Lytechinus pictus: one gene and its partner. The main gene of each other region encodes a partner of the protein of the gene in region 2 in a complex. Links are inferred from orthologs where the notes say so. Each region holds a gene or a part of one and is shown on either strand. Other genes may lie near its edges.

What was found.
Region 1: AT-rich interactive domain-containing protein 2-like (region 2) and protein polybromo-1-like share a complex: the UniProt entries of both Homo sapiens proteins name them as parts of the SWI/SNF-B (PBAF) chromatin remodeling complex. The link is inferred for Lytechinus pictus from reciprocal best matches to the Homo sapiens genes ARID2 and PBRM1.

Annotation. Positions count from the first base shown.
Region 1 is NC_087247.1:59,697,233-59,701,164, forward strand, and holds the start of protein polybromo-1-like, read right to left. Parts: upstream 2,818-3,932; 5' UTR 2,802-2,817; coding exon 2,685-2,801; intron 1,634-2,684; coding exon 1,536-1,633; intron 744-1,535; coding exon 596-743; intron 1-595. UniProt on the Homo sapiens protein: Involved in transcriptional activation and repression of select genes by chromatin remodeling (alteration of DNA-nucleosome topology). Required for the stability of the SWI/SNF chromatin remodeling complex SWI/SNF-B (PBAF).
Region 2 is NC_087263.1:4,093,527-4,097,458, forward strand, and holds the start of AT-rich interactive domain-containing protein 2-like, read right to left. Parts: upstream 2,647-3,932; 5' UTR 2,566-2,646; coding exon 2,328-2,565; intron 219-2,327; coding exon 81-218; intron 1-80. UniProt on the Homo sapiens protein: Involved in transcriptional activation and repression of select genes by chromatin remodeling (alteration of DNA-nucleosome topology). Required for the stability of the SWI/SNF chromatin remodeling complex SWI/SNF-B (PBAF).

The DNA of each region.
Region 1 (3,932 bases), on a different chromosome or scaffold from region 2:
AGCGGCGACTGCACGTACGTGGAAAATGTCGGGACCCCCGCAATTCGCGAAAATTTCTGTACGCGAAAATAACAGCTTGTACAGTACTGAAAACTGTCACAGAATATCGGATCAAGAATCAAGGATGTATGACAAAATGTATTCTTGAATAATGTATAAACACATTACTCAGTTTCTTTATTTTTTTCTCATACCTCTCAGAGCCTTTTTACCTAATGAAAATCTAACAATGGGATATAAGAATGGAGACCTTGAGAATTTTTGTGAATTTTTTGTTGCACAATAGCACAAAATTAATATTTATCCAGTTTAATAATAACCACATCAATTTTGAAAAGTTCTGCAATATGGTCTGTAGTATAAATGTGGTACAACATAAATACAGCTGAAACACATGAGCACAAACAAGTTGCATCGGGCTTTGTGTGGGAAGCAGGGTTTTAAAACTTGTTTTAGCCGTGTATGCAATCACCCTAATATAAGGAAAAAACAAAATAAACAAGTTGTCAAATTCTTAAATCATCCAGAAAGGGAAGTTCTGACATCTCATTTAACAAACTCTCATCTAGTTTTCAGTAAAATGTAAATATCTTACCTCATAGTAAGCCTGTGCATTATTAACCATGAGCTCAACATCAGCCACCATTTCATCCACTGTGTCGTATTCTTCTGTTTTCATACGCTGCTGAATCTTCAGCATATCAATGGGGTTAGAAACCACTTCATAATATTCTGGTGTAGTCCTGTCAAAATAGACATATGAAATGCTCATCCACCTCATAAAAATGTTGATTTGAATCAAAAGAAAAAAATTAGACAAGCATAATGCTGAAAATTTCATCAAAATCGGATGTAAAATAAGAAAGTTATGACATTTCAAAGTTTGGCTTATTTTTCACAAAATAGTTATATGCAAAATTTAGTCACATGCAAATGAGAAAATCGATGATGTCCCTCACTCACTATTTCTTGTTTTTTATTGTTTGAATTATACAATATTTCAATTTTTATAGATTTGACAATAAGGACCAACTCGACAGAACCATATAACGTTAAACATTGGTAATTCCACATGTTCAGTGAGAAATAAAACTTTGTTTCACAGGACAAAGAGGAGAAAATAAGAATACACGTATTTCATATTTCTTATAATAAAATACAAAAGAAAAAGTGAGTGAGTGCTGTCATCAGTTCCCTCATTCATCTTAAAGTTGTTCTAGTTTCAATCCAAGAGAACTTCACACAAATGTCTTATTCATGGTAACGCTATTATGAATTATCTTTAAAAAACAGGCCATATACTGTTATACAACTTGAGACACTTCAAAATCAAACAATTAAATAAGCTCTTCTACACCGAAACAACTGTTCATGTCAATAGACAGTCAACATTAAAATGAGGATTTTTCAAAGAAATTAAATGTAACCTTTTCTTATAAAGCAATGTAGTTAATTTGCAGATATGTTCACCGCTTTCACTAAAAGATAGAACCAGTGATATAATAAATTTAATATCAGGAACTCATTATATTTACCTCCTTTTGGGAATTCTGATAAGAGCTTCACATATAACTCTACCATCTTCATTCTTGTAGTTTCTGATGATGTCATATAACTCCTGAATTACTTCACCCTGTATTTTAAAAAAAAAAATCAAATATATAAATTTTTCACGCTGTAATTTCGCATTTGTAGGATGAATAATATAAATTCCTTTATAATCATACTTTTGTTTGTCTGTTTTAAATGTATTGTATAATTGTTCACCATCTTTTTTCTATGTTTTCGCATCCTATGTGTGTTTCATATGTTTGTAATGCTGGTGGAAAGCACATTTCCATGAAATTGGACTACATTAAATATGAACTTATAAAGGAGAACCTCACTATAAACCATAAATTTAAGGATATTCATATTAAGTTTACAAGCTGTACAGCAAGCTTGAATGACATTAAAAAAGGAACACTTCCTGAGTATTTAAAGCAAACTTTGGGTGAGAAAAAATCAAGTTTGTTCTTATGTCAAATTTCCTTGACTGCCATCAGAAAAGGCATTTGGCTATGCGACACTTCCCAGTACGGTACTCTATATAAAGGGTGGAAGGACTGAAAAAAATATATTCCCATCTTGATATTTTAAGGAAGATATTCTTTCGGGAAAAACATTGAAAAGGAGGAAAAAGGTGAGACTGCAAACAGCTGGACTGCAAGTGTGTCATTAAATGAATATGTGACATGAGAATTGGGACTATTACCTGTATTCTGGTCTAAGTTGTGGTTTAACTATGGATAGACAAATGTGACATAAACAGTAGAGGTTCAAATTATTAGCTCATTTTACTCTCAAAACATTCTTAACAGAGAGGGTAAATAGCATAGTTGCCTTCACCATTAAAGAATTAAGAGAGAACATGGTAAACATGAGAAAAATACAATGTAAACAATATTTTTGGCTTCCCATAATATTACTACAGGGTTGGACCATGGTCTAAGTAAAACTCTACTTCAGAATACGGGCTTATGAGTCTAGATAGCCACGGACATCTCTTCCACTTTTGGAAACAAACAATTAAATATTCATCAAATTGTTATTGTTAACAAAGAAACAAATAAACTAAATAAAGAATATCCGTACCTCCATGAAGCTTTGACAGATCATACTTCAAGATGAAATCATATACTTACAGCATCATTGACATTGACGGACCTCTTTCTTCTTTTGATAGCAACAGACGTTGGAGAAGTGTGGAGATCATCATCATCTTTAACATCAGTAGTGGTTGACCTTCTTCGCTTTGACATACTTCTTAAGATATATTCTTCTTTGTTTCATGTAAGACAAAACAAAAGAAATATTGAAAGATCAAAACACAGAGGATCCTGATTACCAATAAAAATTTTGAGCATAAACAAATTTACAACAAAATTTTGAAAAAGTTCCAGGACTAAGATTTATAATTAACAACGAAGAACAGTGAAGAGCAAATATGGAAATGCACCTTCATTAACATTTCAAAGTTCAAGGTGTATTTTTCCACATTTCCATAAAAACGTAAAAACAATTTACAATATAAGCACATATCAAATCACAACAAATATAATGTATACAAAGGAAGGATGAACAAAAGACAAACAGAGAATACCAAATACATTTTTAAAGAAGAGTGTCGCTGGGGCTTAGCGAGCACATAATATATATATATATATATATATATATATATGCAGTATAATTATTAAATCAATTAATCAAATAAAAACACATTTTTATGATGTAGTTGATCTAGTAGGCCTAAAAAATATCAAAGTCAAACTCTATTAAACATTTAATTTTCTGGTGTAAATAATTTATTTGTATCTGCGGAGAGAAAAAGAAAACACTAATCTGAATGAAATCATGATGAAGATTATTATTTATAAAAGCCTTATAAAACATGTATTCTTGACAATCGATTGATATATTACCATCTAAAAATATAGAACTTAAAATAAAGTAATAAAATCTACGGCAAAGTTTATGTGTTTCTTGATGATCATTAGGGCATTTTCACCACAGATGGACACAGAGGCAAAAAAATCAAATTGATATTCATGTCAAATGAATTATGTTTTATAATAATACAAGACCTGAAGTTTCTGGGACAATTTTTTTTTCCGACTCTGGCAGCCATTTTTTATTTCAAAATGGCCGCCAAAGTATGCATACAAATTAGTGTTGAAAATGGTATATTGATACATATTTTGTTTTGACAGATTTTTAAAGAACAGGTTTGATCATGTTTTCCCTTTGCCTTAGCTTGCTATTATAACACTTTATCAAATCCCATCTAGAAAGAAACACCAGTAATTAATTTGTCTGATAAAGAAATATTGATGAAGTATGTGATAGGGTATGTAACGTCAGTTACCAAAAACATGATTTTTTTTCTCATTTCC
Region 2 (3,932 bases):
GGATGATCATACGATAGCTTTCCCATAAAATCATTGGTTGGTAGAAGTATCTTATTACTATACAAAGTGATGATATTTACCTTCTGGTTTTTTAGATCCTGGACCGATCACCTCCCTGACTTCTTTGTCACTGATGGTGTCATACCAGAACTGTACAAATTTTCTTCTCGTTTTCTCCACCCAGTCTTCTTCGTATAGCTTCCTCAAACTTCCAGGTCCTGAGAAAAAAATGAAACTCGTATCTTAACCCTAACTAGGCCGGGCTTTTTTGGCTGTTCTGTGGCCGGGGGGGGGGTTGATTCAACCCCCCCCTGAGATCTCGGCCACCGATCGCGCGAGCGCCACAAAAATTTGCACGCTGGTAGCGTGCGATGTAATCTACAAGGCTGTATGGTAAAATTTTCCAAAATAATGAGATTTTATTTTATATTAATTAATTATGCTAATTTATGCATAAATCATACTTTTTGCTCTAATTCACTAAATAAAGCTCCTAGAATGCTAATTTTTGGTAAAAATATTCTTTGTAGCATTCTTAACAATGGCAATTGAAAAAAACTTTGGTTTGGAAATCAATTTTTTATGTATTTTATTGTTTTATGAATTTCTTATGTATTTCTTTGTTTTTCAACCTTTTGTTTTTCTTTGTTTTTTTCACCAGATTTATTGCACAACCTTTTTGAAGCATACTTATGCTTAAGTCAATTGCTTTCAGCTGTTTAAAGTAAAAATAATCATATCTTTATGAATAAGATGAGAAAACTCAATTTGCATTGACTTTGTACACAAAATCACGTTTTGGAACAATTTTTGGTCTGACATGCACTTACAAAATGTTGCGTAATTTCGGAACCGCGTACCCGGGCGTCGTAAATTTGGTCTCAAAAGATGCGCGAGACTTAAAAGTATAAACTCTGCGAGTGGCGTGGTCAAAAAATTTCGCGCGGCGGAATGATCGCAGAAAATGTTGAGGGGGGGGTTGATTCAACCCCCCCCCCCGGCCATTTTAGGGTTAAAAGACCCAAATAAAAACTTGCTTTTAGAGGAAAAAGTAAAATCAGACAATTTGATAGGTGAAAGTTTGAACAATATCGGACAAACAATAGGAAAGTTATGAATTTTAAAAAGTTGTGAATATTGGTAATCACTATACCTGTGGAGATTTCAAATTGGCAACAAATGTGATGTCAAAGTGATGTAAGGCAAGGACTACTCTTCCATGTACTCCAATACATAAAATGACTAAAATTGATTTTTTTTTTCAAATGTTTTACCTCAAATTATATTTTTCTTTCATGAGGACATAAAACAATATACTACCTAGGCTATATTTAGATTACAGCCCCAGGGGAATAGGTACTTGGGAGAAAACCACAAATCCCTGATAATAAAGTACATGGCCTATGGGAAAGTTGTCCTTGCCTCTTGTCATAATTTACTTACCCAGCTGCCAATTTGAAATCTACATAGTCTTAGAGATCTCAATTTTAAAACAGCCATAACTTTCTTATTGCTTGTCCGATTTCTTTCAAACTTTCACCATTCTGTTTTATTTATTTTTCTCCTTTCAAACACAACATATTATGACCAGGACTGGATTCTCCTTTAAGGAGGCCAGGGTCCCGTGTCACAAACGATAGCGAGTGATTTTCACAAACAATTGTACATTGTGGTCTATGCAATCAATTCTCCCCAAATCACTTTATAAAACACTTCCCAGGGCCAGGGGCCATCTAACACAAAGCATAGTGCTTAATCATAGGAATTTTTTCTGCTTCATTACAATCAATCAACCATCTAAATCATCTATATGATAAATCGGTTAACTTCCAATTGATCCAATGCCACTTCGTCCAATTCTCAACTCGTCTACCATCATTTGGCTACAATTAGTTTGTCCAATATCCACATGGTCTAGTTTCCATTCCATCCACTCGCCATTTCTTTTAATAGCCACTTGGTCTAATAGCCATTTAGTCCATATACCATCTGGTCTAATTGGACTAAGTGTTAATTGGGTGAAATAAATGAAAATAAAATGGGTAGCAGACCAACTGGTTAGGAGACGAAATAGTCATAGAGGAATTGGTGATTAGACGAAGCGATGATTGGACCAAATGGTTATTAGACCAAATGGCTGTTGACGAAATGTTGATGGAAGGAATGGCATTAGACTATATGAAGATAGACCGTGTGATGAGTGGACGAGTTGGCAATAGATAAATTACTAAGCTTTGTGATATGGGTCTTGGAATAAACTTTTCTTTCACTAAAACCATTTAAAAGAAAAAAGAATCCCTGAAATATCAGGAGATCATCTCTAATACCTTCATAGAAGATGCCTGCATGTGCGAGCAGTAGGTCAATGAACATGGGTGCTTTCTCCAAGTGGATGACGTGCTTGCCTTCGTTGGAGAGCAGCGTGCAGATGTTGATGGCGAAGTCCACTTCGTTGGGGAGACCAGATTGGAGAGAATGGAGTATTCGGTCGTACTCTGACGTCCTGCATTTCTCCTTGGCAAAGCCATGTGTCTGTCTGATTTTGTCTGCATAAGAAGATATCATTTTCACAATGACAGTTTCTCAAACCAACTTGCTTTGAATTACAGTACATTTGCTATCAATTGAAAGTGTCTTTACATTGATTCAAATAATTTAAGACAGTTAAAAATGATCAAAAATAAAATAAAAACCTAAGACTTTTTAAGATGAAATAACCCCTTTACTACTGTATCACAACCCTGTCAGAAAAGGATGAAAATAAATAGTGAGATGAGAAAAACGTATACTGAAGGTTAAAACTAGAAGTTGTTGCAGGAATAATAAGCATATTATACATAGCAAAGAGTACCAGAGGCCGTTCTCATTACGCTTTCTAAAACTAGCTTACTGGAAACCGATTCAGGAAACCACTTTGGAAGATCGCTTTGCTAGCGTTCCCACTTGATCACACGAAAGTGGCTTTCAAAATCACTTTACGTAAAGCGCTCTTGTTGCTATGAAAACGCTCTCAGAGGGGTGACATGTTTCGCGCGAAATTTGAAACCGCAGCATTGGCATTCTACACCTGTCGTGTGGAGTAGCGCGCTCAAAATGTGCGAAGATCGCTTCCCGAAGAATGGTTGTGTCCTCACTTACGCTAAAACCAGTTTAACGAGGCAAAGCGATCTTGAAAACTACATCGCGAGGTGGTTTTCCAAACCGGTTTGGAAGATCGCTTCGACCGTTCTCACTACGCGTTAAACTAGTTTCCACTAAACTAGTTTTAGGAACGTAGTGTGAACAGCCTCCCAGTTAAGGGATGTTGAGGGGCTTGTATTGTAAAAAAACAGTAACAATTTTATATTCATAACCTCTGTACAGCAGGAACATTAATTTATAGATTTCAACAAAAAAATAATTCCTTCTTTTTATCAAATCACACCTTTTTTTTGTCTGGCATTTCCTAGAACCTTCACTTAAAGGGATGGTCCGGGCTGAAAGTATTTATAGCTTAATAAATAGAGTAGAATTCACTGAGCAAAATGCCGAAAATTTCATCAAAATCGGATAACAGATAACAAAGTTATTGAATTTCAAAGTTTCGCAATATTTTGTGAAAACAGTCGTCATGAATATTCATTAGGTCGGCCGACGTCACATCCCCACTTGTTCTTTTGTATGTCATTATATGAAATTAGGTTTATTCAATTTTTTTCCTCCAAGAACTAGAAAAATTGGATTGACAACTGATTTAGTGCATTAGATATTTATTGCTGCAACTTATTTCATTATAAGGGAGACATATTATTCACACAAGTATGAAATAATGAAAAAAAAATGATTTTATGTAATAACATAAGAAAACGGAAAGTGGAGATGTGACATCATTAGCCCACCTAATGAATATTCATGACGACTGTTTTCACAAGATATTGCTAAAATTAAAACTT